3 linked regions of the Oreochromis niloticus genome follow. The protein of the gene in region 1 interacts with the protein of each later gene in a pairwise test. Links are inferred from orthologs where the notes say so. Each region holds a gene or a part of one and is shown on either strand. Other genes may lie near its edges.

Region 1 (9,832 bases):
CGCGCTCCATCTCGAGATTTCCTCCATACTATGCCCGTCAGTTACATAAAACAATATGTTTCGTGCGTGTGTGTGAGTGTGAGTGGAATATTTCTCCGGTTTCGGTATCAAACGCGCAGATCTTCACTCTTATCTCCTGCTTCGCACAGTCTGTGTGCTTTGCGCATTCACGACGCCAAGGTCAGGAGCGCCAACGGTTTTAATGGAGCGCCCACCATAGAGATCTCTCTACGGCGCCCACTGCCAGCGCGTTACTAGGCAACCACCGGGATACGCCGGTGCATTAAATTCACCATCCAAAAAACCCGACTGAATCCCAATTTAGAAACCATTAACTAAGCACCTTAACCTCGGACTGCACTCATGGGCGCACACGTTTCGTGCAGAGGTAAAACCCATCTACGACTGACCAAATCAAAAAGTAAAGTGAGCAGGCCTGCACGGAGAGAGAGAGAGAGAGAGAGAGAGAGATCAGACACATTTGCATTGGCAAAAGCCTTTTTAGCAAATTGTGACAACAACGGCAAAATAGAAAATTTTGCAAACCACCCTCCAGTGTTATCCCATGCTTTGCAGCACATGTTAGACCTGATCACCCCTCGTAGCAGAGTCATTAAAAAAATCTTATTCGTACTAGATCTACACTTTTTAAACAATCAGACTGAATATGCAAAAAACAAACAAACCCCCCCCCCAAAAAAGAAAAAAAGACCCACTATAGTTAAATGCTGTGAGTCAAAATGACCACAGGTGCTAGGAAACTAGTCTATGACAGGTAAGGTGGAAAAATATATCTTCCAAAAAACCCAGATCATTCCAGTAATTGTTTTTTGTTTTTCTCTAGCTTGCTGACTTTCTGTTTAAGCACCTGTATGTGGGGAATTGGGCTTATGCTTTTGTTGCATTCAGTGGTTAAACTAAATCTAAAAATATGAACATCACACTAGAATCTGTCCCAACGATACAGATGAGTTATGAGGCAAAGTCTGGGCAGTTGCTGACAGGGCAGACATATTCCCCCACATATCCTTTTTTTTTTTTTTTTTTTTTTTAATAATGCCCAGTGGTCACAGCTATGATGCACAGCTGAGGGATCATTTCTAGACTTCTTGGAGAGAGATGCTGCCCAGTGTAGTGTGCTTCAAGCTGGGTTGCAAATGAAAGCTTTTTAAAGAAATGAAAATATTTTGCATATATGTTGGTTCCCATGCAGGGAACAATACCTGTTTATTACAACGAGTTTCAAATTCATCTGACCACATGAGCAGAGTACTATTGGTTATCAAAGGACAAAAACATTGTAAATCTAACAGTCGCCATTTATTCAATTTTAGCGTTATTTGCCTAACTCAGTCAAAAAAAGCCAGAAATAAATCTACCAGGTCATTTCTTAGTGACCTCTCTAGCCTGAAGTCATCCTACAGCTGGCCTGATAGACCCACATCTTCTTTTTAATCAGTGTTGCCTGACCCTGTGGTTCCAGGTCTGGGTCACACACTCATCTGTCAGCTCCTGCGTAAGATTTGTAAGGCTGCCAGATGGGTTAGGAATGGTCCTGCTTAAGTTGCTTTCAGAAAAGGCAGAGAAATGCTGACCTGACAGTATCTGTATGTACACAGCTGGCAATGCCCTTGTGGTAAGAAAAACAGGTCACTGTCACTGAAGCAGACAGACACATCCACCTGGGAGGGTAAAAGTATGAAATGCCCTGACTAATGAGGAACCAGTTTTTCACAAATGGAGATCTGAGCATTTTAACCAAAAATTTGGGTCGGTCAGTTTAAAATCTAAAATACTGGGAAAATTATAGACCAGTATGGGATTCATGTGACACTCTGATATAATAAAAACAAACATGGTTATCTGAATGATCCATATGAACAACGGCTGAATTCAAACTGAAGAGCGAGGGCTCTAATCAGAAAAGCAAGTCTGCAGAGGTTGGAGAGTTGGCTCAGTGCTGTGGTTGAAATGGGGTTCTCTGTAGGTTCTGCTTGTTCTACAGTTTACCTAACAGAACTGAAGAGTGAACAAAAAGCAGACCTCTTCACCATTGCTTCAAGAGCCCTGCTAGAGCCAAACAAGGAACATTTTAGTCTGGACCCAGATCAATTTGCTGCCTGCCTTTATCAAAATGTCCTTTATAGCTTTCATGTACTACGTGTTTGATGCTCTGCAGGTGGTCAATGCTCACCTTGATTATAGAAACAAAGCTTACATACTAATTCTCTCTCTCCCTTTTGCTTTTTGATAAAGGTGAGTATTGTCTTTCTTTTTTGATTCCCTTTGCCCTTCTCAATCCATCTTCCCCTCTGCGATGTTCCTCAGGACCTATGCTGCAGTGCCCGCCTTGTGGTAAGAAGATACAATATCGGCATGTCCAAACAATGCACATCACTCCTGCTGGACTCCCCTATCCACCCCTTCACCACATTAAGGATATTATACAAGATGAACACTATCATGTTGTACTGACATTCCCTGTCTTTCTCGGTGATGTACCATATCATCTTGCATTTATTTGTGATCATTTATGGAAATGAATCAACCTAAAAGGTCTCTGTGTTGCTCAAAAATGCCATAAATAGATGATATAAAACTTTAATGAACCCCAGGGGGAAAGTGGGTCATAGCAGCAACAGAAAACAGGATATACTGTAGGAAACAGCAAATACAAATGTTTGCTGCAGACACCCGGGGAAAATAATACAACGGGATACGTGAAATATGCTGGTTATCATGACTGTTAGATAGATAATATTAGACAGGATTTTATCTGGAGGTGGCCACATGTGTACAGTTTGTGGATTTAAATCACAAATGTTGTGTGTGCAAAATGTGCATCACTGGAGGAAAGTAACTCATGAGTAATCTACAAAAATTTGCAAGTGCTTCATCTGAATTATATAAGGATACTAATGATTTTACAGTTGTGGGTAAAATATTTATAGACGCCCCTCAACCCCCAAAAATTCTGTTACGTAACCAAATGATCACCAATTGCTATTCAGACCTGCACTTATGAACCTGCTCAGAGTGCCCTTTTCTGCAAGGCCGGCTATATTATGCAGAAATGATGTGGCTGTCAGACACCCCTGGGTGTTCTTGAGGTGAGGGAGTCCCAGGCAAAGAAGGAATGTTGTAATTTTAGGTTATCACCTCATTAAGTGCATTTACATGAGACCCTTTACCACTAATTATCTAAATGATATCCCTTTACATCTAGATAATGCCTGAATATAAATGGCTCACGTAACCACCTCCAAAAGAATGGAATGACACAGACTAATGATTTATTTAACTTATAAATATTTCTCCTATAATAAATATGATAATGTGTGTTTCTTATTGTTGAAACTTGTGGTTTCTGCACAAAGGGACAGGAAAGCTCATATATCATATTGTTTTCATAATTTTTACATTTACTATGTTTTTCTAACTAGTGTCTGTTTTCATCTAAATAAAATATTTTCGAATTTAAATTTGCCCAGAAGGACAGTTAATTTAGTCCTCAGTGCCCCCTCTTCTCAACATATGCTACCCATCACAGAATACCTTCTGTGCTCCACCCACAGATGGTGCTATCATTTCAGGATTACGCCCTGAATTTGGTCTATCAGGAGAGCTCTTCCAGTAGACGCTGCAAACGCTGCACTGAAACGCATACAAACAGGCGGCAATGCAGGGTTACGATTTAGGGGATATTTAAAGGCAGTTTACGTGAAATAAGAACTCCTGCGAGACTATAATTAGGGAAATGAAAACCCAAATACATTTTTACGCTCCTTCCAATTTCCCATGATGCACTTTGGCGTTTCAGTATGTAACAGTTATGCTTAAATAAACCATTTAATTTGTTGAATTTCATATGCATAGATATATGATACATCGAAACTTTAACATGTGGGTTATTTGAACGGAAAATAACGACTGATACGACCAAAAATTGCCCAAACCGAGAGCTCTGAATGTTGCTGTTGTACCCGTAACTAAGGCAACGGTGAAGAATGACGTGACTCGCGGGAGAACAAACGCTAAACGCACCACAGCAGTCGTGTACTGTTTCCTTCCTGTGTGGTGGCAATAGTTATTCAACATGGAGAGACAAACTTTAGGGAAGGAGAGGCTGATAGTGCCCACTGATTTCACCTCACCAGCACTTCCGAGTAAGTTGCTCCTAAATTCTTGTAAAGGTTGAGCTAAATAAACTGTTAATTAGCAAATGTTAGCTTACAGTGCAGCCCACTTGGCGCTTACATTAACTCATGTTTAACAAGTAAAAGTGATTTTATTCTTCAGGAAGCTGCCATGTTTATCTTTAGTGAACTTAGCATAACAAAGGCTTGTTTGCGAACATGGGGAACCTTATATTGGATTAGAGTAGCTAATGCATGCAAACACATAGACACTGTTTTATTTTATGAAGGGGAGACTCCGGAGGACCTCATACCGCCATCGCATTTTGCATCAAGTGCCCATTCTGCTGGAACAAACAGATGTGTTCAAATGCCGGCGACACAGCCACCCATCTCCTGGATAAACCAAGGCATGATATCAGTACCATCATCAGGGGAACCAAGTCCTGCCAATCCATGGCTTGCCATCAATCAGGCCCAACAGGAAATCTTGGAGCTGAGGAAGGAAAATCAGAGGATCTTGATGCTACAAGGAGACAGCATAAGGACCCCTGATTATCGTTCAGATTGTAGAGCCAGGTATATCCACTACATGTTTTATATGGTCTGTCACTTGGGTGGCAATATGGACATATTAATGTGGTCTCTTTCCTTTTATGCAGATCAAAAGACAGAGGAGATAATTGGTCTCGATGGGAATCAGAGTGGCGACTGGAGGCAGAAAAGCACAAGGCTGAAGCAGAGAGGTTAAAGGGGCAGGTGGAGGCACTAAAGGAGATTGCAGAAAGATGCAGGGAAGAGGTCAGAGACAAAGACAACACCCTTAGCAGGTAAGAGATGTGCTTGTGTCATTATGTGACATCTCCGCACATTTAGTATGTAACCTCACATTATGGAGGTCAGCAAATAATGGTTTTGAACAAGCTTAACTTGGAATAACCTTTGCACAACAGACACAGCCATGAGATGGAAGCAATACATACGGATCTATCCAAGGCTAAGTCTGAACTCAGCCAAATCAGAGAGGAGCTCAGTTTCTGCAGCGCACAGAAGGAAAAAATAAGCTCACAGGTAATGATGTTTACTGACAAAACATTTCATTTCGACACTCTTGTAGACATACATCACCTGAGAGTTACTGGCATTTTCTAACTTATTTTGGCAGTTTGCAGTTAAATTTGTTTTTGTACAGTTTTGTGATCCCAATAAAACCTTTTAGTCACCTTTAATTTAACACGTTTCACAATAATAAGGTTAATAAAGTCTGCTTTTTCTGTTTGTAATATGTCTGTTTTTTCTCACAGCTTGAAAGACTGAAAGCAGAGTCTGATGAGGAAATTACAAGGCTGAGGAGAGATGCTGAAAGGAGCAAAGAAGAATCCCGGGAGCTTGCTTTGAAGGTTGAAATGGGCAGGTTGCAGGCTGAAGAGGAAGCCAAACAACAGACTCTCAGACTATTAGAGCAACTAGAGGAATTTCAGAACAACAAGGAGGTGGAGGTGTGTTTAACTGATCATAAACATTGTACTTGGGTGACCTCCTTTAGGATTAAGGGCCTTAATGCAACAACCACTAAGTATCTCTAAGCAGAACTCTGAGCAGTTCCTTTCACTCTGACTTTGCAAGTAATGCGAGAATGTGTAATTGAAGATGAATAAGTCATTATGTCCCTATTTGTCTGTGTCTTAAACTTTCCTAATTTTCAGCTGCAACAGTTGAATGCATCCCATCATGCAGAGTTGGATGCAGCACAAAAAACAAATGGTGAACTACAGGACCGACTTCAGTCAGTGACCTCAGAACTGCTGCAGCTAAAGAACACTCTGATGGAAGTATCTACTGAGAGAAATGGACTAAAAGAACATTTAAGGTGCTTCATTCAATCTAAATCGGAACAGAACTAAAGCATTTAAAGCACTCTGTAGTCACTGTTTTGTGTGTGTGTGGTGGGGGGCATGTTGTTGTTTATTTTTCAGCCAAATGGGACAAGCTTTTGAGACACAGTCTGCTACATTGCAAAGCCTCAGAAATTACATCGGCCAGCTTGCACCAGAGAAAGGAGAGAGGGAACGATTAAATGAAGCTGTTGAGGTAGAGGCAATATAAACAGTATTGATCGTAATGAGCATACTGCAAAGTAACTGCATGGGACTTTCAAATGTTCTTTTCACTAGGGTAAAGGAAGAACAGTAAAATATGAATGAGTTAATGTACAAATTATATAATTAACTCTAATTGTGTGTAATTTAATCTTGTCCATTTTGCAGAGGCTGAACAAAGAGAAAGCTGCTCTTCAGACAACTGCAGAGCTTTTGACAGTCAGGCTTAACTCTGTGAATGAGATACTCGCCCTCCAAGAAGAGAAAATGGTGAAAAAGGTGAGTGGTTTTTTTCTTTCTTTCTAAATTTACATAGCAAAACATGATACAAAACTGTGTTTAAAACATCTGGTGATCAGCAGCAGTCCAATGTGAAACCAGCAGATGCCTATGATTTTGTGTTTTCTCTAAGGATGTTTGCGGACCACGTAAGGTAAGAAATGTCAAACTGAATATACATCACAGACCACATTGAGTAAGCTGGACTAGTGAAACACACCTTTCTTTCTGTGTATATACATTTAACTACACATGTAATATCTGAGATATCCTAATGAGAAGAAAGGGCCATTTTTGTACATAATAAAGAAATGCTGCTGTAGTAGATTAAAGAAATCTGTTAGCACAACTCTTTGGGTTTAAATTGAAAGAAATAAAAGTGTAAAATTACAGAGAATTACACTTTTTTATCGGTCTTAAGTTAACTCACTTGGGTGCTCACTTCACATATGCGTATACTGAGTAGCGCTGCAGGAGACTGAGATATGATAACAGTTGGTAGAGATAGGTAATTATAGTAAACCGCTTAGTTTGTTTTTGGAGGCTACGTCCTCTGTGATGCTCTGTTATTACACAGTACTTTGGAAAGGTTTAGCCTAGTTTAGATGTTGAGATTCTTACGTGTCATGGAATATCATCTGGAAGGGGTTTGGTCAGTCCCAGATTATTTACCTTGCTGTATGTGACAGCAGCTTCAAACATGCAGTCAGATTCCTATATCATGATTGGCACGACCTCCTAAAAGAGATGGTATGGTATGGCCTGGCCTGGCCCTTACGGAGCCATTTCTCAACATCACCGAGTCAGTCTGGCATTATATGAAGAGACATGAGCAACTGAAAGAGCCTAGATCCACAGAAGGTCTTCAGTACACAAATGCATTTAGAAAATTGGTGCTGTTTTGGATGCAAATTATTATTATTTTTCATTGGGCTCTTTGTAAAGTTGACTGATATAAAAACTACTATATTGTCCATTGATAAACATTGTCAGTTTACCTTTAGTACCCAGATCCTTTGTGCAGTATTACATTGTGGGAAAGAGAGAAGAAAACTCCTCATTTCAAGATGTAGTGCTTTAGAAAACATCAAGGCTAATTTGAAAACAATTATGCATGCTCATGTGGTGTGTGCACTGAAGTGTATGTGTGTATTTGTGTCTCCCATATGTGTGTGTTTCCACAGACATCGATGGATCCACTTGTGAAGAAAGGATCCGAAGGCCTTCAAGTGCTTCAGCTGTGGAGAGAGAAAGTGTTCAAGTTGTGTGTCCAGCTTCGCTCAAAGGACATCGAGATAAGAGGAGAAAAGGAAAAACTGATTTCAAAAGTATGAAAACGGCTATTATTTTCCTATACCACACAGTACAGGTAATTCCAGCGTATTTAAAACTGTGTTCAATGTGGGACTGCAATGATGTGTGTTTTAGGTCAGATTTGCAGAGCAGCAGCTGCAGCAGGAGCAGCACAGAGCTAGCGTGCTCCAACACAGCCTACATGACAGGATCGCTGAGCTGGACCTCGAGAGGGTGGAAAAGGATGTTAGTACCAGGGCAACTGATGTGATTTACATGGCTGTCTGAAATTCTGATGATGCGTAATAAACTTCGGTCTGCCTAGGAAAGTGATAAATGCTCGTACATTTTTTACCACAGCAGATGATGCTGACTGCACCAAAACTTTGGTTCCCAGAGCCATTGAGGTTTAAAGGACAGCACCTGGGGAAAGACAATCTTAAAAACTAAGCACCGCATTAAAAACAGTAAAACAGATCTGTGAAAGATGCTCTGTTATATGTGGGAATGTTTTTCTTTCCAGGCACTGAAACAGGATTTGGCCAGTGTTCACAAGGAAAATGTTCAGTTGAAGTTACAGAGCCAGAAAGCAGAGGCTGAACTTAAAACCTTGACAGAGGCAGTGCAGAGGTAAAAAAATAAATAAATAGCAAAACTGAATTTGAGAGGATAAGGAAAGATGAGGAGACGTATTAGAAAAATAGAAATAGAATTCAAGACAGACATATATTGGCTGTGCCTTACAGATTCTGTCAGGCGTTTGAAAGCAAGGTGGCAGAAGTGGAGGCAGCTAAAGCAAGGCTCAACACTTTTACCCAGAGGCTGACATTTGCTAAAAGACGAGTGGAGACAGTCCAAGGTACAGATGTGTGTGTATATATATATGCTGATGGGTTAACAGCATAGCTAGAAGAACATAAAGAATTTATATCTGGTTTTGTTTTGCAGCTTTGGTCATGAGGAAGGCAGCCCTGCAGAAAGTTGAAAAGGCCTGTAAACAGCCAGATAAGGATGCTGAAAGGTACAGTTTATTTATTTATTTTTCAATGTGGGTGATTCTCTCTTTCACTTTCTTTCTGGATCATAGACATACACAAAATCATATCTGACTGAGGTCACGTGTCTTTTCACTAGGCTCTCCTCATTCTAGGCCAAGAGATAGCCTTTATAAGCGTCTTGTTCTTCCACTCACTTGCTCTTTTGGCTTTCGCATAAAAAGCTCATGTTCTACTATGGCAGCATGTTCTTGCGTTAGTAGACATAGTTGACATGAGATGCTGCTTTCATATGTGGTGAGATGCATGAACAATAAAGGAAATAAAATAAGTGCATGGAGGGAAGGGTTCGGAGTTTTGATTGTATGCTGGTATAGCGTGGCATACTGCATAATGATTTTATGGGACATATATAACAGGAGTCGCTAATGTGGTTGAAATAAGTGTTGTGAATAGCAGGTGTTGCTGTCTTATGCTGTCAGTGTATCTATACAAGATGATTATAATTCATGCAAAAAGTAACTTTCAGGCTGTTTAGCTTACTTTGTTATGCATCATGCAGAGCCTTCTCTACTTCTGCTTGTCTGTTTGCTGTACCATTTTATCTTTGTTGCCCTGCAGCATCAGAAACCTCCAGATAGAGCACAGTTTGGTGTGCGAAGAGAGAGACAGACTCACTAGAGAGCTCAAAAGAACCCCAGTGCTTATCGAGAACGCTCTCGCTGATCTGAAAGAGCAATGTGAGACCCCATACGGATCACAACACCCATTATAGTACATCGTCTGTTTGTCTGGTACATATCCACATTTCTGTAATGCATGTGTCTCTGCGCACTTTTTACCCTTCACAGATGAGAGTAAAGTTAGGCTACAGCAGCAGGAGCTGGAGCAGAGCTGGGTGGAGCTCGAGCAGGCTGTAGCCGGTAGAGAGGAGGCTGAGCAGAACCTGCAGCAGATCCAGGCCCAGCTGCAGGACACTAAGGTCACCCTGGAGAGAGTCCGCTGTGAGCTGCTCAGCCAGCAAGAGCAG
Region 2 (10,909 bases), on another chromosome or scaffold:
ATTTTAACACTAGATTTACTAAACCTGTGCAAATTTGCGTGAGAAAAAACTTCCCTAAACCCAACACCCCCTAGAATTACTGGGTTTTTTATTTTCTGGTGCAAGTCCTGAGGTGTTAAGCACCCCTGCTGAGATTTTCCCAGGTCGTCAGCTCGTTATATTTTAGGCAGTATATTTTCTTAGCCTCTGTCATACTCTGTTAACACAGCAATCTCAGAAACCGTACAGTAAATTTGTCTGTGGATGACAGGGTGAAGAGTGGAGACGGCCTAGAGTCAGAATCCAGTGAGATATCTGCGGCACCTCGTACAGTTTTCCTGTAATCTGAGGTCAAAGTTGGGAATATATAGAGTACAGTAGAGTAAATTGTGCAAAGTTTAATATCAATTTTCTCAAAAACCGTACAGTAAATTTGTCTGTGGATGACAGGGTGAAGAGTGGGGGTTGCCTAGAGTCAGAATCCAGTGAAATATCTGCGGCACCTCGTACAGTTTTCCTGTAATCTGAGGTCAAAGATGAGAATATGTAGAGTACAGTAGAGTAAATTGTGCAAAGTTTACTATCAATTTTCTGGAAAACCGTACAGTAAATTTGTCTGTGGATGACAGGGGGCAGAGTGGAGACGGCCTAGAGTCAGAATCCAGTGAGATATCTGCGGCACCTCTTACAGTTTTCCTGTAATCTGAGGTCAAAGATGAGAATATGTAGAGTACAGTAGAGTAAATTGTGCAAAGTTTACTATCAATTTTCTGGAAAACCGTACAGTAAATTTGGCTGTGGATGACAGGGGGCAGAGTGGAGACGGCCTAGAGTCAGAATCCAGTGAAATATCTGTGTCACCTCGTACAGTTTATATGTAATCTGAGGTCAAAGATGAAGATATTAACAGTACAGTACTGTATATTGGATAAATTTTATTGTTAATTTTCTCTGATTCGTAGAGTAATCTTGGCTGTGGATCACAAGGGGAAAAGTGGAGATGAACCAAAACGGAGTGGATTGTGAAGTTAAATAGTGTCAGGACACAAAAGACTGCGTTTCTAAGGCAGTCGGCATCCATACCGTAATATGCGTAAGAATAGTGCAACCACATTTTAGGTGCGGCTGGCGGGGCGGCTAGCTTGACTGTGACTTCGCAAGTGAGGGCTCACTTGACCGCAGTCTGGCTCTCCGAGTCTCCATAAGACTGCTGAAGAGACTGTTATTCTTACAATAAAGAATACAATTTTAGAAAAATTTCCATAATAATAAATTTGATTTAAAAGCACCTTTCAAGACACCCAAGGACACTTAACAATAGAATAAAACACATAATAGAAGAATGGAAGAATTTTTGTTGGTGCCACCGTCTCCAAACCATAAATCACAGCAGGTCTCACTAGCATCTTGTAAAACTTCCCTTTCACTCTTGTATAGAGATAAATGAAATAAAGTGGTCAATATTTCCCTTACTCAAAGCTGTAGGTGACAGTTAAACTAGAAAAACAAAGTTCGGGTTCTAATTTGAGATCTTCTGACTGAACGGTTTATTTTTGTTGCCACCTAGTGGTCGATCCTTTGGTTTTTTTGCTTTGTTGTGATTTGAATTGACCAACAAATGCATGTGTTTGAATTTGTTTCTTGTCATGGACCACAAAAAAATGAACCAAGTTTCTTAGTCTTTAAGGATTTTCTAGGATTTTGTGTGAAGGTTTAATTCTGGATTCCTGTTTTTGTGTCTTTATCATTCTAATGATGTTGAGCTTTAGCTTTTTAAAATTTGAGTTCTGTTTCCTTTGTGGTTTTTGGAAGTTCTTCTTTTGGGTTTTTTTTAGTTCCCACAGTGATTCCCTTGTATATGTTTCCTCTCCATATTCTTCTACCCTTTCTGTTATCATGTTTAGTGTGAGTATAATGTGTGTAGTATCAGCTGTCTTCTGCTTAAATTTAACAGTTTGCTTTTTAAATTTCCTTCCCCCTTTGTGAAGTAAAGGAGGTTGTGATTGTGTTTCACCTGTGTCTTTTTCCTCTACTGTCTGTTATTCCCCAGTTAGTCCACAGTCTATATATAGTCCACTCTTCCTCTTTCTCCTGTCTTTCTTTAATTGTCCTTCCTGTGCTGTGTTAGAGTCATCTTTTTGGCCTTTGTTTAGCCTTTTTTTATTCCTTTTTTTTAGTCAACACCCAGTTTCTCTTTATCTACTACATTTGTCTCCTCTCTCCATTAGCCCATGACACCAGGTCTTAACAAGGCGAGTGAGAAATGTGCTAAAAACAGAAACGTGAAAGAGAAACACTACTGCTGGTTGTGGTTTAGTGGGGAATTTTTAACCTTACATGGTTTCATTTATGCTTTTGAGTTAAGAGTAAAGTGTCAGTTATGCTTATACAGCTATATGGCACACGTTGGCCTTCAAAAAAAATCCCCCATGAGAAACATCCCAGTGACTCAGAAACTCAGTAGGCTGATGGAAATTACTGCTCATGTACATGCAGCCTATGCACCGAATGATCTATCCAGCTTGAGTTTCTTTTTCTGGCTGCATGACTGAAAATCACTTGATGGTTGGTGGCTTCACACTTAGATTGTGTTTCATGAAACAGGAAAGGATGTAGAATTATTAAATAAAGAAGACAAGGCAGTCTTTCTTGCCTTCTTCTTTTTCTTTTTCTTTTTTTTTAGACTTGAGTTTTTATCATATAAGAACATTTTGGTCCCACCCCTCTGGAAGATAAGCTATCTCAAATACTTCCTCTTTATTTTTTTTAACATGTTGTGTGTCCAAAGTCAGTGACCTCTATCCGTGATGTTATCTTATATGTGCTTTGTCAAGGCCTCAGCACAGCCATTTACCCCCTTCATTGCCATTTCTGTTGACAGAAAACAACACCCGAGAACGCTAAAAGTAGTGCAGTAAAGGTAATGATAATAGAGGTGAAATGTAAGCAGGGGTGCTTCATCTTTATGTTAAATCGCTGACAAGTATGGCTTTGTCCTACTGTACGTCACCTCACGTCTCCACGTGACACGAGAGGAATGCAGAAAGTTTTGTTTTTAAAAACCTTTCCTCATAAGCAGGTCTATCAGAGATGATGGTTAACAGTTTTAAAAAATCACTTGCTCTTAAAGCAGACGTCACTCTGCTAACTGGACTGAACTCCTGTTTTCATGATCACCTTTAACTACAGAGGACAAGGAAGTCTGAAACTCATCTACAGCTAACTAAGAACACTACAAGTAAGATATAATAATTATATAATCATAGCGTTATAGGTTTTATATTCTTTAGGTTTGCTCAGGGGGCCTTTTTAGTGCAAATGTTGTCAGCACAGCATCCTGCTACAAGACATTAAACTGTTAGTGAGTTTAAACTGCATCTGATAGAAAGGGAGAATTTTTCTTGATGAACCATCATCATCAAAGAAAAGGGCCAGTACTGGCAAAATCATACACCTATGTCCATGTACTTTACACTGTTAATGTTTACAGAAAGTATTCAAATCCCAAATAAGACTTTTTCAGTGCTCAGAATAATAGATTATGTTTAAATATGTAAAATGTGTATTATCTATTGTAAAAATCATTTAAATCCAACCAGACTTCCTTGTGACTGAGTTCATGTCTGCTTTGTATGACGGTGATCAGTAACATGATTTGCTTGTCTTCTCTTGTTTTTTGTTGAGTTAAGCTTAAAATATTATTATTATTTTTGTTTTTTGGGGGTTGGGCTTTTCAGGAAAGTAGGAAATGAGAGTGTTAAAGTTCCTCAAGTCCAAATAAAACCTGGGCTGCTGCATTCAGCCTTGAGGCTCACGTTTACCTGATCTGCTTGGGACCTAAACCGTCACCAAAGCTTAAAACACTTTAATTCAAAGTTTTAGCACTAACAAAAAAATCCAACAGCTCCTCTGTTTGAGAACTTGTTTGGCAAGTCTTTGACAGACTACATGTCCTAGTGGATCAGGAGAATTCATCTAAGATTACTCGATACTGGAGACGTAGAAAATGTGCCACGCTGCTATGCACTGATTACAAAACCTTTGTGTTTTATTTTGTAAGATGAGCTTAACAGAATAAAAGCTTTACAGTTATTAGCTGGGAAACAGCTTTCTCTTGGTGTTTTTCTGTTTTTTTAAATTGCATTTTTCTTCTTAGCTTGTACAACAGGAAGCATTTATGTCTTCAGCAGGGATGTTACAGTTTGGCCTGTTCGGGGTAAAAAGGTCAGGCAGTGTCAGTCAGTTCAGCAGTTCAGTGGTTTAATTGGTTGTGATCAATTAAACCAAGTTTGAAGAGTAAATATTTCCTTAAATTTCAGTTTGAAATTTTTTATTCATTCACTTTGTAAAAAAAGAATAAAAAATAAAAGCAGCTGCAAAGCTTATTGTATATTTATTTTTAATCAACACAACATGTGTAATTTAAAAAAGGCATTGCACGTACACACAAACCCACAGATGATAATAATCTCCTCAGCTTCGTAATGGTGAGGGTTTTTTTTTTTCACTTTAAGACACTCACTTCTCCCATCGTCATCATTTTGAACTGCTGCAGATTGCTTTTTTCTGAAAAAGCAATCTGCTCACACACACACAGACACACACCTAGCTGTTCAACATAGCTTAATTTCAACTTTAGCAGGCAAAGAGCCAAATACCTCCCTTAGAAGCTGAAGACTGGCCTCAAACATGATTACAAATGAAGAATAAGGTTGCTCATTGCCTCTAAAAGTTGCTAAACACTAAATATATTGTTTGTGATGCTTTTTTTTCAAGTCATGGATAAACCTTTTCTCCCAGATGAGTAAATCTACCTTTTTTTTCTGTTTCCTTCCAGCCATGAGAGACAGACTGGGACACCTGCATCAGGTCCAGACTGACACTGAGGGTTTCAGTACAGTGGAGCTAGATAACCTATCAGATCATGATGCAACAGCTGGAGATAATGAGCTGGATGATGTCCTGAAGGAGGCCCAGCTGATACGTCTGGAAATCCAGCAGATCCAAAATGACATCAGAGATCTGAAGGACGTGAACTATCAGGCTTTGAATAAGACTTCAGACTCCATTGTGATAAAACGGGACTCCAATGCAATCGGGGCAGATATTAAACGCAGAGGAGAAGCTGTGTTGCAGAGGCTGCATATGCTAAATAACCTCAGAGGTGAACTGGAGGTCCAGCGCGGCAGTTTGGACCCCACAGTGCGCGTTGCTCGAACACAGTACCACTGCCTGAGCAACGCTCTGCGGGAGGTGATGTTCAGCTACAATGACACAGAGATGAACCACAGGGAAGCCTGTAAAAAGCAGATCCAGAGACAGATGGAGATAGTGGGCAAGGAGGTTAGCATGGAGGAGCTGGAGGAGATGATGGAGGGTGAAGAACTGACTGTGTTCAGCACCCAGATACAAGGCAAATCTGCCCGGTCTGCCCTCATGCAGATCGAGAGCCGGCACCATGAGCTGCAGGAGCTGGAGAAAAGAATCGAGGGGATCCAGGAACTGTTCCTAGATGTGGCTGTCCTCATGGAGGAGCAGGGCACAGGAGTGGAAAACATCCAGAAAAATGTTCAAAATGTTGATGTGATCATTCTGGAAAGCAGGGTCTATCTGGATAATGCCACTAAATCTGATAAAAACAACCCTTTCAAGAAGATGTTTTGCGGCTGCTTTCCATGTTATCACAATTAGGCCTTATGAAGCTTTTATTGATTCTAAAATATGGTGAAACTTTTAATGAATCACACTGACTTCCAGGATACACCCACAGATGGGTGCACAGTAGATGGCGCCACTAATAGAAAGGTTTGAACATTGATGGTGATGAAGCCAAGTTGGGCTGGTCATCATAAAACAAGACCCACCAAGGTGCTGATTCTCCGTTTCTCTGGGAAGGGCCCCACTTCCTGCAAGCCTGAATTGGATAGGTGCTTAAAAAATAGATGTATAGTGAAATATTTATTTAAGGCATTTATCTGTAAAAGCAAAGTGCAATTGCTAATCTAGAGCTGTTAATATTTAACCTTAAATCTTTACGTTAGGTGATTTTAGATTGTTATTTTAGGTATATTTAGATTTTATGTGATTTTATGTGAAAGTGTAATGTGGCCTTTATTGATAGAAGTATAAAAGTTTAGCCATTAACAGGCTGGTATGACTACGACTCCTGTAACCATTAATGATTTCTTCCTGTAACTGTATGATACCAGTCAAAGGACAGTGTCAATAATCTGGATATCAGCCTATACTAAGTCTGTGTGACTTGTCCTCCTTAAGTAAAATAATGATTTAAAAAAAACCTTGCGTGAGTATCCCTTCTTCATTTCAACTTGATCTTTATCATCTGTAATTTTACATTGCGAGTACTTCAGCTTTTTAAATACTCTGATACATTATCAATTTTTCAACACAGGACTGTTGCAGCTGACTAAATGGAGCAAATGGCCATAGCACTTCTTCTGTCCCTACATATAAGGCAGTTATGAAGGCTTTTTCTTGCCCAACTACCAAAGAAAATTGCTTATTACAGGTTACAAGACTCACAGTGTTGTAACACTCCCCCCCCCCCTCCCCTTTCTCTCAGAAATGTAAATTTTAATACTCGATGTATATTTTTAGCATTGTATTTTTAGACCTGATCATTAAAACCACATGTAAAATATTGGGGTTGCACTTTCCACTTGTGTCAAACACTTGTTCCTGAACACTAAATGTGTTTTATGTTGAGGCTTTGCCCCCGTTTTCAAGGTTAATGTTGAACTTCTATTCGCGTTTTTATATTAGTATAGTAAGCTGAATTTCTTTTTTTGTCCTTCTTGTATTCTTTTCTATCTTCACAGCGAAGAGTTTAAACTAAAATGAAAATGACTGAGATTCGTGGTCGACTCATAAGTCTAAAACGTTTTTAGAACACAAAACCTTTATTGCGCAAATGCCAAATGCGCACGCTTTGACATAAAAACACACCATATAAAATGACTGTGACTGACCTACACCTCCTTCCTGGAATCAAACCCGAGAAGCAGTGAAATGTGTAAAGGGGAAAAGGCGTTATCTTCCGCATTAATACCCGCTGCAGGCTATATGGGCAGTGTAATGTCAGCGTGTCACTTGTAATGTATAGGACGTGATGCAAGACCTCCTTAAAATTCTAAGTTGACTGTTGAAATTTGCATTTATAACCGAGACAAAAAGAGGAAATGACTCTTTCCGTACTCGCCCCTTCTGCTTTTGGGACTTTAATTCTCTAATATCGGTGGAGGACACAAAAAGGTAGGCTGTGTGCACCTTCTGTTGTACTCTCTATGTAGATATAGGCTCAGTAATCGATACATTGGTGTATTGTGTCATATAGGTCGATTTCTATATCAAAAAATTGCTTTCGAGCTATTCTGTTTCCTCCCGATCTCACCTTATCACGGGAGAGGATGCTTTGCGCTTCTCTGATGTGGTTTTTTCATTTTAGTGAGGATTTTTAACATTATCTACATCACAGTACACCTCAGGAATTGATTCGTTTAGCAGGAAATAACCGCGAATGAAGGACAGGAACTTTTAAAATAACTTCTATCTGATGATGATGTGAGTCACACAGCTGAGGAAGTAACTCGCCAATGCTTTTGAGGACTTTTCACTGACCTACAGCCACCTTGCATAGCACATCAAAAACTGTTATCGTTATCTAAAAGTGAGACTTAACATTAGTGCCTTAATATTAATAATAACATATCAAAAGAAGAACTCAGTGTCATACCAGCCCCTTCCTCTCTCTGTTAACAGGAGGATTCAGTGCAATATTGAAAGGAAATTACCAAAGAACAGTAGATTAATACTCATGCTGGTCACATTTATGTGACCCATCTTATTTGCTATTCAATATCCAGTTTCATTCAGTAAGTGACTGGAGATTTTCCATACATTAAAAATAAATAAATAAATCTGGGACTTAACTTGTGTAGCTTTGTGTGATTCACATTTCAGAATAAACCTGTCAGATAAGCCATTTTAAGTCCTCTCTCCTTATGGCCGCCGACCTTTACCCCAATTTTCTTCTGATTAGCTGAAAATAAAAGGCTTGAATACAGATGGGTGGGGCTTCTGTGCTCAAGGCCAGAGACCTGTGTGCCTGAGATGACTATGTTAAGGATATATGTACAAAGTGACGTCATATAGAGCTGAGAGTAGAAACAACAGTCCAAAGCCTGGTTGTTTTCTTACATGTACTAATATCACTATTTGAAACTTTTGCTTTGTTTAATATGAACAGTATACATGTGACAGGAAATAAGATGACGAGGAGCAAAGCCAGCAAAATAAAGTTGTGCTATGAGAATTTTTGATATCAGTTTTTTTTAATGTAGTTCTTCAGAGTAAAGAATGCATTTCCCACAATTCCATTAGAAAGGTGAATAAATGTCTGTGACTCTTGCAGGTAAGATGAAGGACCGACTGACTGAGCTCCAGGCCTTCACGCCTGCAGAGCAGGAGTACAAGCCCACGGAGAACGAGAGACTCACCGGTGAGGATGAGAAGCCTCTGGAGCAACACGCCATCGTGTTTGAGGGTGAGGACATGATGGATGGCATCTACAAGGATGCCCAAGTGATGAGGAAGGAGATCCAGTTGCTCAGAATGGATGTGAAACGTCTGGGGAAGCAGAACACCAGGTTCCTCACATCAGTCAGGAGGATCAGCAGCATCAAGCGGGACTCCAACGCACTGGGACGAGACATCAAGGCCAGAGGGGAGTCCATTTATAAAAAGCTGGAAAAAATGGGGAAGCTGAGCAAGGAGCTGGAGGAAGCCCATGGTGTCACATCAGCTTTGGCTCGCATGGTGCGCTCGCAGTATGTGTCTTTGACCAGCGCCTTCCACAGTGCCATGTCTGAATACAATGAGGCTGAAATGGCGCAAAGGGAGAATTGCAAAACCCGCATCCAGAGGCAAGCAGAGATCATGGGCAAGGAGGTAACCAGGGAGCAGATAGACGAGATGATTGAGACGGGCAAGTGGAATGTCTTCTCGGATAATCTCCTACTGGAAGGGAGGACTGCCAGATCTGCTCTCAACGAGATTGAGAACAGGCACAAGGAGCTGCTGGAGCTGGAGGGCCGCATTAGGGACATTCACGAGCTTTTTTTCCAGATGGCGATGCTGGTGGAGCAGCAGGGTTGCATGCTCGACAACATAGAAGCAAATGTAGGGGCAACACAGGACTATGTAGCCAAAGCTTCAGCGCACATCAAGCAGGCTAAAATATACAAGGAAAGCAATCCATGCAAGAAGCTGTTTTGTTGTTGTTTCCCGTGCTGTAAATGAGGCGCCACCAGTTCCCGCACCCTACCAGAACGTTTGATTCAAATCCGCTTTCCTGCAAATGTTTCTGAATGCTTACATGAAAGCTTTTTGCTGCTCTAGATGTGTCCAGATATCACATTCTGGTATCATTTTCTTTACTGAGTTGATACCAACTAGTCAGAGTGATTCAAACCACATGCACATATGCAAATATATACAGTGCGATAATGGTAGTTACATTTCCTGATTGCTACTGAGAACAGCTTATGCATACACGACTGCTGTAAAAACATCTAAATTATTATTTCATGTGGCTTGCAGCTTTGTTTAGCTTTTAGCTTTGTACAGTTTGGAATGCGGCATGCAATATTTAAGCCCATATAGTATGATTTTATTTATAAATAAATGCCTTGGAGTGGCTATATTTGGACAACTTGAATGTACATCTACAGCTAAGCTCGGAACTGGTACTTGCTATAGACGTGTTTCTTATTGCAACCATTGCTTCACAAGTGTGTAGAAACACTGATCACAGCTCAACCAGCAATTGTGGTTAGCTGGGGAGGCAAGTTAGATTTGTGAGGATTGTGCAACTATATGTTAGCCACCCCCAGCTACAAGCCAAGGCTGTGCTTTTCCTCCACGTGTTGCTTCACATAAAAAAAACACAAAAATATTTGTGTGTCAGCTCCACTTTAGAGAGTCAATGATTTTGTTTACCACTGCCACACAACCAACCTCACCAAAGCCAGTGAAATCTCTTTAACAGGGCAGTTTGCCTGACTTAATGCGGTGTTTGCACAGGTAATGTTACAGGAGAAACAGAACAGAATGGCAAACTAAACAGGTCAGAGGACTTTCTGTTTGCACAGGAGGCCTATCTCACTGCCCTTTGTGATGGCAGTAAAATTCAAAAACCCTTATTTCCCTGTGCCTCTGGGCCAGCCCATCCCTCACTGGGGGAATCCCAGTCATCAGCTGGTAAACTGAGGGTGTTGTGACTCAGACTGCCAAAGGTACTGCTGTGTACCTGTGGGAGTTTTCAGACTTAACTGCCTCTGCTCTGTGTTGAAATGAGTTTCATGGGTTGCAATGATTGCACTTCCTCAGCAGTGCTGTGCGGTTTCTACTGGGGGCATTTACCGACAAGAGCGCGTTTATTTGAACTGTGGCGTCACGCCTCTGGTAGCTGTGCGTGCTGGAGTCACACGGCTTTATCTGATGTGTGCCATGCGCTGATTGTGCACACGCACTCACCAGGATGGCCGAGTGGTTAAGGCGTTGGACTTAAGATCCAATGGACAATAGTCCTCGTGGGTTCGAACCCCACTCCTGGTAAAAATGGAAGTTTTAACCGATGTTTGTAGGAAATGCGTGCAGTCTCATGCACTTCAGGACGACTTTACTCTTCATGGTCAGCCTCTCTGCGCTTAAGCTCCCACAGTAATAATTATCACCTTCCTTCGAGATTGCTGTTGTTTGCCATTGCTTTGTCTGTTTTTTTCTTAGCACGCATGCACTCTGGTTCAGCTAAGAAACTAAGAGAGATTTTGGGTAATTACAAGGGGCACGCCTCACTGCCTCACTATAGATTTGAGAGTTAACAGGTATTTGATTACACAGTGTGGTCCAA
Region 3 (9,880 bases), on another chromosome or scaffold:
GAGTGTGCTTGGTAAAAGAATAGCCGTGTCAGAACGGTGACTTTTATTAAAAGGAAGAGTTTAACACTGTCAGAATAATGTTACTTCTTTCATTGGGTATTTAAGGAAAAATTAAAAAAAAATCCTTTCACATTTGTAGGTTTAATATGAAGCTACAATCAGGTGCCAAATAGCTTAGCTTAGTATAAAGATTTGAAAATGTGGAAATGGTTTGCTCTCCAGCTTCTAAAACTCACTAATTACCAGAATATGTTGTAGTTTAGGGTGGGTTGCATATGGGATATTTATATATAGTATTCCAGTATTTCTGCATAGCCAGTTTTACCAGTTTATGGCTATACTAGCTTACCAATGTAAGAATGGTATAGATCACTTATGTGATCTAACTCTTGGGGGAAGTGGAAATAACTAGAGATGCGCCAACTGACCAACAAGAGACCAGAATCAGCTGATTTCCAGTGTTCTTTGCCCAGACAGGTGACCGGCCAGTCAGCCTCATGTACATATATGGCTTATTATGGGCCAGACCACAATGGCATAGGCAAACAGTCATATGCTAGCATCTTAATGGGTGAAGACACAAACCTTGCCAAAATAAATCACCACAAAATGGAACAACAATTTTAATAAGACACTTAAATCCCCCTCACCAAGCTGAACATGGATATTTTAAAAAGGCAGCAAAGGCAAAATGGCTAAAGCTAAAGCTATCAGTATCAGGCTCGGTATGAGCAATGAAAGAGTAAGTGTAACTTACTGCAGTTTGGCAAAATTATTAAATCTTATCAATTCTTTACTAGTGAAAATAAAATTTTGCATTAAAGAAAAGTATGCTGTCTATTGCAGTTCTTCGAAAGAGAATCTCAAGAAGCCAAGGAAATTGCACTCTCTACAAATCTTTTAAAATATGACGACAAAATCTATTTAGCTCTAAACTCATGAGCACGTAAATAAGATTAAAAATATTTCTCAATGCCCCCAAATAATTATCTGATACCAAAGAAGAGCTGCCTATTGAACATCTTTAACTGTTGTTGCCTGATTCAACTTCACTGTTGACTCTGTTGTGCATTTTCAAACAGGATTCACTGCTGGTGTGTGTTTTTCCTCAGCTCAGCAGGGAAAGAAAAGCCCCCTTTGAAACAACACAGGCTTCATTACTTCATTCACTTCTTTCTCTGTACTATTTTTCAAAAGCGTCTCCATGGCTTTTAATGTTGTGATTCCAGTCACTTCTTTACAGTGTCACTTCTCTCAAACACATTTTAATTTACCGTTACCACCAATTGTTTTGGACTTGTTTTCTTATCTGACAAAAATAATTTACCGTGAAGACAATTTGCACATGGACACCGTATCCTTTCCTGCTTACCAAGCGCTTATATGAAATGCTTTACATGTGACATATTATATACACACTGATTCTCACTGATTTTAAAAGTACTTACCTGCCGCACACTGTATGTCAACAAAGTGAAGCCCTAAACGTTGACCCTGTAAAGAAAAACAAATTGAAAAAGGTCAGCGAGGGTGTCTTGATATTGACTCGACGCCACCATTACTACGAGAGATGAGCTATTCCACGCTGACAAAATGTAGTAGACTTTTAAATAAGTAATTAACGCCTCCCTTGTCTACCTCCTTCAAGGACTTATTAACTCTCACTTTGTGCTTTTGTTAAACCCTCCCATCGCCTCCTGTAGAGATACTGGTGAGCCAGCTAGGGAGCACTCCAGTGCCTGTGGTCTGTGCAAATGATAATTCTCTATGACATCCCGCTCAGCAGTGACTGCATCCTGTGGGCTAATGACACCAACTGAGCTGCAAAGGAACCACTTAATGATGACGGACACAGAGCACATTAGGGATAGCCAATAAGCGATCAGCACTGGGTGTCCCTGGGACCAAGGACTCAAGAGTATCCCAAACATGTTTAGATTACTTATTCTCATGGTGAATTGAGGGCGTTCAGCTGATCAGCAAACCATAGAAGCCAAGGTTCGAAGTGTGTAGACAAGAAGCCCCCCCCACCCCACCCCTTTTTATTTTGCTTTCACTTCTATCCAACCTTGTTTTACACAGACTGATCTCTAGTGTTATGACAGAGCCTATTTCCAGTCACAAACTTGCACCTCTCCCTTGTCTTGAACATTTCTCCGTGCTGCTTACAAGAGCCAGCAAAGATTTTTAAAGGGGACGTTTCATTGAAATTAAGTTTTAAATAATAGATATTAATATAATAAGAGCCACATCTAAAGACTATTCTCAACATCAAACAATCTGCTGATATTTTTCTCAAATGTTCAATCAATATTTTTGCCATACGACAGCTTTGGGTGATATCTTTAACTACAGCCTGGCTTTCTAACAAGCAAAACCTCCCACTTCCTAAACAGCGGGTTGAGTAAAGCAGAAAATCCAGTTGTGGGAATCTGATGTTTGCTTGAAAAACCAAACGAAATGTCAGATTTTTTCCAAATAATTAAATTTTTTGAGCAACTGAATGACTCATCTTCAGCTCTTTGACAACAACCACTCGTTTCACAAGCAGCAATAAACCACTCTGTGCAATAGTCAAAAACCAGCTTCAGTGCTTATAAACACCATCACATGTCTTTGGAGCTGGCACAGCACGGTAGTTTGGATAAAGTTAGACCAATTATATATCATAATTGTGATTCTAAATAGAGAGAAAAAAAAGCTTTGGGGGCATTTTTAGAGCAGATATGTCAAAGAGGCACGACTGCCCTTTGGCGAAATGGTTAAAAAAACATTTGTTATGCAGTGGAAGACCCAGCAGAGACATGTCAGCAAAATATCACAATGGTTCATTGTAAATATTCCCCCTATGAGGTAACTGCTGAAATTCATGAGTATGCAACAAGGGTTGCACACTGGCAGTTCGTGTTCACAGACGTGTAATCGGAGCCTGTAAGCAGATGACAGTTTAACGGTTAAGTTGATTATTTGATGGAAGTTTTTAATAATTCATGCCAAAATAAATTCAGCACATTCAGATCACAGTCGGTGCGATCACTGTTTCACCGGTCCCGATCAATGGGATTTCTAGCTAGTGCCATGTATTCATTTCCCCATAAACAATCACAGGCTCGTAATAATTTGGATGTCAGATGCTTGCAGTGAAGTCAGACTGTGTAGTAATCATCACAGGCCTGGAAAGGTGCATTTTACTGTAACCGCACCTTCAGCTCCAAGGTAATGACAACATCCTTTGACGCGAGTCAACATAAGGACTCGGTTACTGCAGTATCTCTCCGCCGCTGATATCATTCACTTCTCCCTTTCTACGAGCCTTAATTCTAACGCCGAGCAGCACCGCAACACTTAAAAATCACTTCTGAAGCGACGGCAGAGCATCAACGCAGCCATGTTGCTGATTTAACCGCCTATTTACCTTATTTCCGCAGTGGGGAATGTGTGTCGTGATGTCCATACATTTATTTTTTATTTTTTTTAATTTGTATTTTTTTGGTTAACAAACAATGACAATTCTGCATTTCTTCAAATCCTACTGGTGTCTCCACAGCCAAGTAAGATACATGGCGGGGAATTGGCCTTTACCGGAGGAAAATCGCGCAGGTTGTGTTTAGAGCATCATCATCATCGGTGGCAGCAGCAGCAGCATCAGATAGGGAGGATGTAAGTGGCTATGGGCGAATAAGGGGGATATTTCCTCCGTGCTGGACAGCCCCACTTCTCACCTTTAATAAATCCACGCGTTTCCCCCGATGTTAAAGCTGTCCGGGCGATGAGAAACAGCTCGGACCATCCATCGTCGTTTTTCAAGCCCCTCTCCCGTCTCATCCGACTTCAGTCTTCGCAACTGCGGTTGTAGCCGCACACAGAAACGTAGAGGCGCCCCGCTCCACTCGGCATCGTCAGCGACCCAGCGGCAGAGGACAGTAGATACAAGCAGGCACGGAGATGCCATGCGCGACCACCTACTAGTACACTTTACGCATGTGCGCACGCACGCTGGTTAAAGGCGCACTACTATTATTAATACCGCTGTTACTCTGAATTATAATCCCCAATATTATACACTGAACAGGAAAAAGCACAGTATTCATTTAGGCTCATTTAAAGGGATACTGCAGCAGTTTGGGACTTTCATCAAGAGGGGAAAGAAAGAGATGTGATGTTTCTAAAAGACCGGAAAAGTATCATGACTTTCTAGTTGTCTGGAGCACCAAGCTCCATAACTCCTGGGCTCTACATTTCCCATAATGCAGCTCAACAGCGTCATACGACAGCGTTACTGTTCTTTATTCAACAACTGGACTCTTCTGGATAATATACGGACCCCAAATGTTTTTAAATATTAAATTAAATATAGTTTATTTTTTGAAGCTATTTAATGAAAATAATACCCTCGCCCCCTCCCCAACTGTGACCTCGTATAAAACCATGTATCCCTCCTAAGGGCAGAGATCTTTAGGAGACACCCCACCACATTTCTTTTTTACATTTTTCTAAGACAGTCAGGGATAACTCAGTTACAGTAATCAGGGTTTTTATGTCAAACTTTGGAGCAACAGAATTTTTTGTCAGACTGGCCCACAGAGGGGTCGTAATATTATTGTGCTTTTTAAAAAATATATATATAATTATAAATAGTACCAAAGAAAAAAAATACAATAAAATGAAGAAGCAGTCAAAAAAAAGAAACTTTTTCCATTATTATTTATTCATAATATTCTATTACTTTGATAAAATACACTTTGTTTACAAGTTCTGATTACTATATTACATTCACCTGGAGTTTTAAATGGAGACAAAATGACACTGACATTAAAGAAATTCACCTAGTGTCAAACATGACATTAAAAGAAGAAGGGGAAAAAAAGTGGCAATCCCCCCCCCCTCCTTTCCCACCCCCCACTTCTTCAAGCCATTTTCTATATGATGTGCTCTACTCTTCCAAATGCACACACACAGTTAGCCTTAGTATTGATTGGGACTGCTGTTGGACTCATGTTTCAGTCATCATTAACAAAAATTTCAGCTGCCTTTAGGGTTGAGAATGATTGTTCTTAATATTTTTTTGCAGTGCAATCCAGTCCAGCAGGACTCTAACATCACATTCAACCAAATATGACGTAAATAATTAATGGGGGTCAAAAATGAGAATAAAAAAACACATCTGTATCACTAACTCAAACATCACTATGTCATTAATAAGTGAAATTTCTATGCCTTGTGAAAATCCTGCTAGATTCTAGCCCTCAAAAACAACTTTCCACAAGACACAACCACCAAATAAAAATAAAACTATATTAATTGAATGACTTTTTAAATGGTGCATTAAAACATTATCTTTTCATAAAGTGATGATGCAAATAGACAAGTAAAAGCTACACTTTAGACAACATCTTCATCGAAAAATATAGACCAATGGATTCACTAAAAAACCTGGACCATACAGAATATCAGATACCTGGACTATTTGAAAAGTGATTATTCTGCACGGTGGACTGTCCAGCCTAAAAAAAAAAAAAAGACAGCCAATATATTAATATAGTAAATACCCTGTTGATTTGTCAAAAACAATTAGCAAATAGATCTTTTATATTAAAATATATTAATTAAAATATATTACTTTGATTAACTAGTCAGACATTTAAAAACAACTTCTGATTATTTTTTGTTTTCTTTAAGGTGACTTTGGCATACTACCTTGGAAATAATTGCTATAAAAGAGGTCATGTTTTGTACCTCCAGGAGATTCTAAAATATAGTAGATGTGTCAATATTTGTAACCAGCAAAAACACAAAACGTTTGGAGATAACACTTCAAACACAGTGGCCTTTTTACAAGTCAGTACGCACTAAGCACTAATGTTAAAATCATCATAACGGGCCTGCAAAGGTTATAACAAGTGCTGACACCACAAATGTGTTGTGCATCACAAAGACAAATTACTGTTGATTAAATACATATGTGACAAATATCATTTTTACAATACTTCCAACCACAGTATTATAGAGGATCACTCTCTTAATTTCCTGGAAAAAGGCCGCGTTAAAGTGAAGTGTTACACTCACTTATTGATGTATTGGTGACATATTGTACCTGTTTTTAGCATATTTCACTGTTCTTCTCTATTTTCATTCCACAGTAAAAAAAGAAAAAAAAGAAAAACATTTTGAAATAAAGAGCCAGTTATGCTCAAGCAAGGTGTGCAGCACGAATAAAATAACAATATTTCTACATCTAGGCAAATACCATACATGAGCAAGTATATACAGCAAAATAACAAAATTGTCAGCATTTTCTCCCCCCCGCCTTGAGTGTTTAAATTAAGTTTGCCACGGCTGATTTATCTATACAGACACACAAGCATTAGAAATCCCACACCAAGGGAGATCATATCCACAAACCTGATTTTTGGGGAGGAAATGCTGATTCATGCAGTAGGAAGTGACTTCAGACCTTCACTGGAAGTGAAAAGATCTTAATTTACCAACAAGGATTATAGAGGAATTATATATGATTCTCTTTTCTTTAGGTTTGATTTTAAGTGCTGTACACCGTTATTACTTTATATCCAGGTGGTTTTCAAGTGCTTTGCCTTGGAAACAAGTCAGGTTGATTTATATAAAGTATCATTCAAAAATCACACTATATCTTCTTACTAAAACTATACATGTTCATTTCTAGTTCTTAAATCTGAGTGTGTTCAGTAATAAAAGTACAGTTTCATATAAAATAGTTACTGTAAGTTGCACTTCCCTGCCACACGTGCATAAATGCCAAATAGGAGGTACTCTACATCAAATGATTATCATTAGCGCCCTTTTTCTTTTTTTTTTCTTTTTTTTTGCCGTTAAACCATAAATGATTAGGACCAATAATAAAAAGTGTCAGTCTAAAGCACAACAGTCATTATGTTCTAAAAAAATAGCAACATTCATTTTCCCTCCTCAAAAAAAAAGGAAAAAAAAAAACAAAAAACTAGACGCATATATATATTTAAAAAAATATATCACACTAATCTAGCCAAGTGCAAACACTGCCAGTTTTCATTTCTCACATATCTGACAACATTTGATTGAAAATGGATTGGCATTTCTATGACACAATTGCACAAAACAACTTTTCTTAGATGTTAGTGGAAAAACAAGACCATCCAGTGTAAATCCTTGCCTTTCCCACAACGAACCGATGCTAGAGCCGTTTTCTCCAAAGCGTGACTTAACACGTTTCAGGCTATTATGCACTGATTCTAAAACACTTGCTTCTGCTTTGTGCTGTGACAATACAACTCTAACCATTCTTTTGTTACTGTTAATTTAATATCATCGTACCACTAAACACGAGACACACAGTTTTGAGGGGCCTATGCAGTCATCATGGCAAAAAGCGCCACACCCCTTGCACATGATCATTGCCTTCAGTCGGCAGTAGCATTTAGACTGGACGTCCTCCATGTTGGAGCCCTCAATGAATGACTGTTCAGGTGAGGGCTCGCCCTGGTTGCCGTGGTCTAATGAGTGACCAGCAGGTATGGTGGTGACAGTCACTGAGAAGGACATAACGCTCCCGTGGATGCCACCACCATCAGCTTCTGATGAGGATGTGGAAGAGCCGGTGCCTGCAGTGCTGCGGTTCAAAGTGTGAGGTACGGACATACTGATAGTGCCACCGTAGCATGATGCTACCGGGGGTTCCTGATTATCGAGTGTTCTCTGGGATTGAAAGGCAGTCGGCCGCTGGTGACTGGGATCCACGTGGGTAAGATATGGCTCGGAGTTTCCTTGATTACTATTGAGTTCGAGGTGCCTTCGGTGTGACTGAGAAAAAGGGCTGGTGTCTTTGGTGGTTGCGCTGGTGTTGTTGTTATCACCACCAGCTTCAATATACTCTGATCCAGGCTCCGTCTTTATGTTATAGTGATGCTGAAAGCCCGCTGGTTCATTAGACTTGCTTACTGAGCATCTTTGCTGCTCTGTTTTGACCCCAGAAGGAAACAGAAAAACTTTCCTGGCTGGTTGGTCCTCCTTGGCTGCATCCTCTGCTTCTGTGGTTTCCCTTTTTGTGCTGGTTACAGACGTGTTTGGAATGGCAGACAGGTGAAGTCTCCTGCTCTCTGATCCTCTGCCATACGTGGAGACATTGAGCAGGTAATGTCCTGTCATGGCAGGCCTTGGCATCCTCCTTCGACCCAAAAAACCAACAGAAATCCTCGATCGATCTTGTCGCTCTTCTGCGTGCATCAGTTGCTGAACTTTGTACTGAGGTGACTGAGGCCCTACACCCCCTCCATAAGGTTGACTTTGTTGGACTTTCCTCTGCATTAGAGCCTGTAGGATCTGCTCCTGAGTCTCCTTGTCAGGAAGTTCCCTGTGATGTTTTGTGTTTTCTGAGAAAACACCAGCTCGGCCTGATGTATTGAACTTCTCAGCCCTGTGCTCAGCAGAATGTGATGCCTTTCCCATACTACCAGAGGAGAAGTTTGACATCTTTACTTCCACCTTGGATAGCGGTTTTGGGAGGATCTGCTCCAGTGGAACTTCTTTGCCCTGCAGAAGCTGAGTGACCAGCGGGTTGTTTGCAGGGATGCAGGAGCTGGTTCTGGTTGTTGATCCAGCAGTTAATGGGATTTCCTGTTCCTTTGAAGCATGCACCGATGATGGTTGTGCTGATACACTTGAACTCTTTTGGACGCTATGGATTCCTGTACTGACAGTACCAGCAGAAAGACTTGTATGTTTTTCTTCAGTTTTGCTTAAGTACTTCTGAGACTGGTTTGGGCTACATGGACCAAAAGAGTCCACTTGGCAAGGAGAAGATATACTAAACTGTGTGGCTGGTAACCTAGCAGATCCCTGTGGGGATGTCGGGCTGGATAAGTGGTGTGTCTGCTCACTACTGCCTCCACCTGGCCCTGGGCCTGGCACCGCCCCCTTTGAAGCAGATGATGATGCTGCTGCTGCTGCACGTTGTGCTCGGGCAAGCTGAGCTTTGGCTTTGATATCTGCCAAAGTGCGAGCACCAGTACGGCATGGGCTACTAAGTGGGCTTGGGAGGGGAGTCCTTGGTGAGATCTGGCTAGGTGACACGGGCAAGGGAAGAATTCGTGATACTGGGATCTGCAAAATGGAAAAAAAAAACCCCAGAGATTAATTCCCATTTGTATATCTAAAAAATATAAATTAAAAAAACATATAACAATATAAATAGGCTTCAAGCTGTATCCTATTTTAATTTCCTCACATGTACAAAACAACAAACTCTGGGATTTACTGGGAAAACTCTAAGTCTTTGGAGCATATTGAGACTAACAATATACTGAGGCAAGTATAGTTGCCCAACTCTAAAAAGATAAAGCTACAGACCTGTCAGGTCCGCTCAGAAAATAGAGTGATCTGAGCAGACTTTGAGCTGCCACATTTATTCCTACCTTTAGTGGTGGAACCCTCTGATTTGTTGTTGAAGTTGGTGTAGCAGGGCTGGATATGGATGATGCTGAGGGAGACACAGATGAGAATGAAGACACTGAAGAAACTGAAGATATGCGGGGTCTTTTCTCTGGTGTTAATTCACCCTCTATTTCACTGAGAGACTTCCTTTTCAGCGGCTCTGAGGAGCCACTGGGCTCTGAGATGACCTCTTCGCTCTCTGCAGCAGGCTTAACCATAGACACCGACTGAACTTCTTTCAACTCTGAACTAGCCTTTGGTGGAGGGCTGCTGTTCACAGACAACTGGGAGCGTTCAGTTTTCTCCTCCTTCGTGTCTTCCTTGCGCTCCTTTTCTGGCATTGTCGATGCTGCACTCCATTCACCACGTTTCTCAACCTCTGGTGCTCTCACTGCAGCCACCAGTCCAGTATTTGCGGTTGTATTCATCTTCCGAT

Evidence for each region.
Region 2: the proteins of cchcr1 (region 1) and stx11a interact in binary tests that used the Homo sapiens proteins (3 or more experiments, as listed by UniProt). The link is inferred for Oreochromis niloticus from reciprocal best matches to the Homo sapiens genes CCHCR1 and STX11.
Region 3: the proteins of cchcr1 (region 1) and dtnbb interact in binary tests that used the Homo sapiens proteins (3 or more experiments, as listed by UniProt). The link is inferred for Oreochromis niloticus from reciprocal best matches to the Homo sapiens genes CCHCR1 and DTNB.

Annotation. Positions count from the first base shown.
Region 1 is NC_031975.2:10,912,519-10,922,350, reverse strand, and holds the start of cchcr1 (coiled-coil alpha-helical rod protein 1), read left to right. Parts: upstream 1-3,818; 5' UTR 3,819-4,096; coding exon 4,097-4,166; intron 4,167-4,426; coding exon 4,427-4,715; intron 4,716-4,798; coding exon 4,799-4,966; intron 4,967-5,089; coding exon 5,090-5,207; intron 5,208-5,440; coding exon 5,441-5,635; intron 5,636-5,842; coding exon 5,843-6,006; intron 6,007-6,112; coding exon 6,113-6,227; intron 6,228-6,403; coding exon 6,404-6,514; intron 6,515-6,647; coding exon 6,648-6,668; intron 6,669-7,698; coding exon 7,699-7,842; intron 7,843-7,942; coding exon 7,943-8,053; intron 8,054-8,330; coding exon 8,331-8,437; intron 8,438-8,553; coding exon 8,554-8,666; intron 8,667-8,755; coding exon 8,756-8,828; intron 8,829-9,423; coding exon 9,424-9,542; intron 9,543-9,653; coding exon 9,654-9,832. UniProt on the Homo sapiens protein: May be a regulator of keratinocyte proliferation or differentiation.
Region 2 is NC_031983.2:20,444,453-20,455,361, forward strand, and holds the start of stx11a (syntaxin-11a), read left to right. Parts: upstream 1-6,968; 5' UTR 6,969-7,251; intron 7,252-8,410; 5' UTR 8,411-8,415; coding exon 8,416-9,297; 3' UTR 9,298-10,909. Other genes in the region: syntaxin-11-like, read left to right, coding at 4,819-5,670. UniProt on the Homo sapiens protein: SNARE that acts to regulate protein transport between late endosomes and the trans-Golgi network.
Region 3 is NC_031983.2:18,631,312-18,641,191, forward strand, and holds the start of dtnbb (dystrobrevin, beta b), read right to left. Parts: upstream 3,942-9,880; 5' UTR 3,723-3,941; intron 1,495-3,722; 5' UTR 1,449-1,494; intron 1-1,448. Other genes in the region: putative Polycomb group protein ASXL2, read right to left, coding at 7,321-9,114, 9,426-9,880.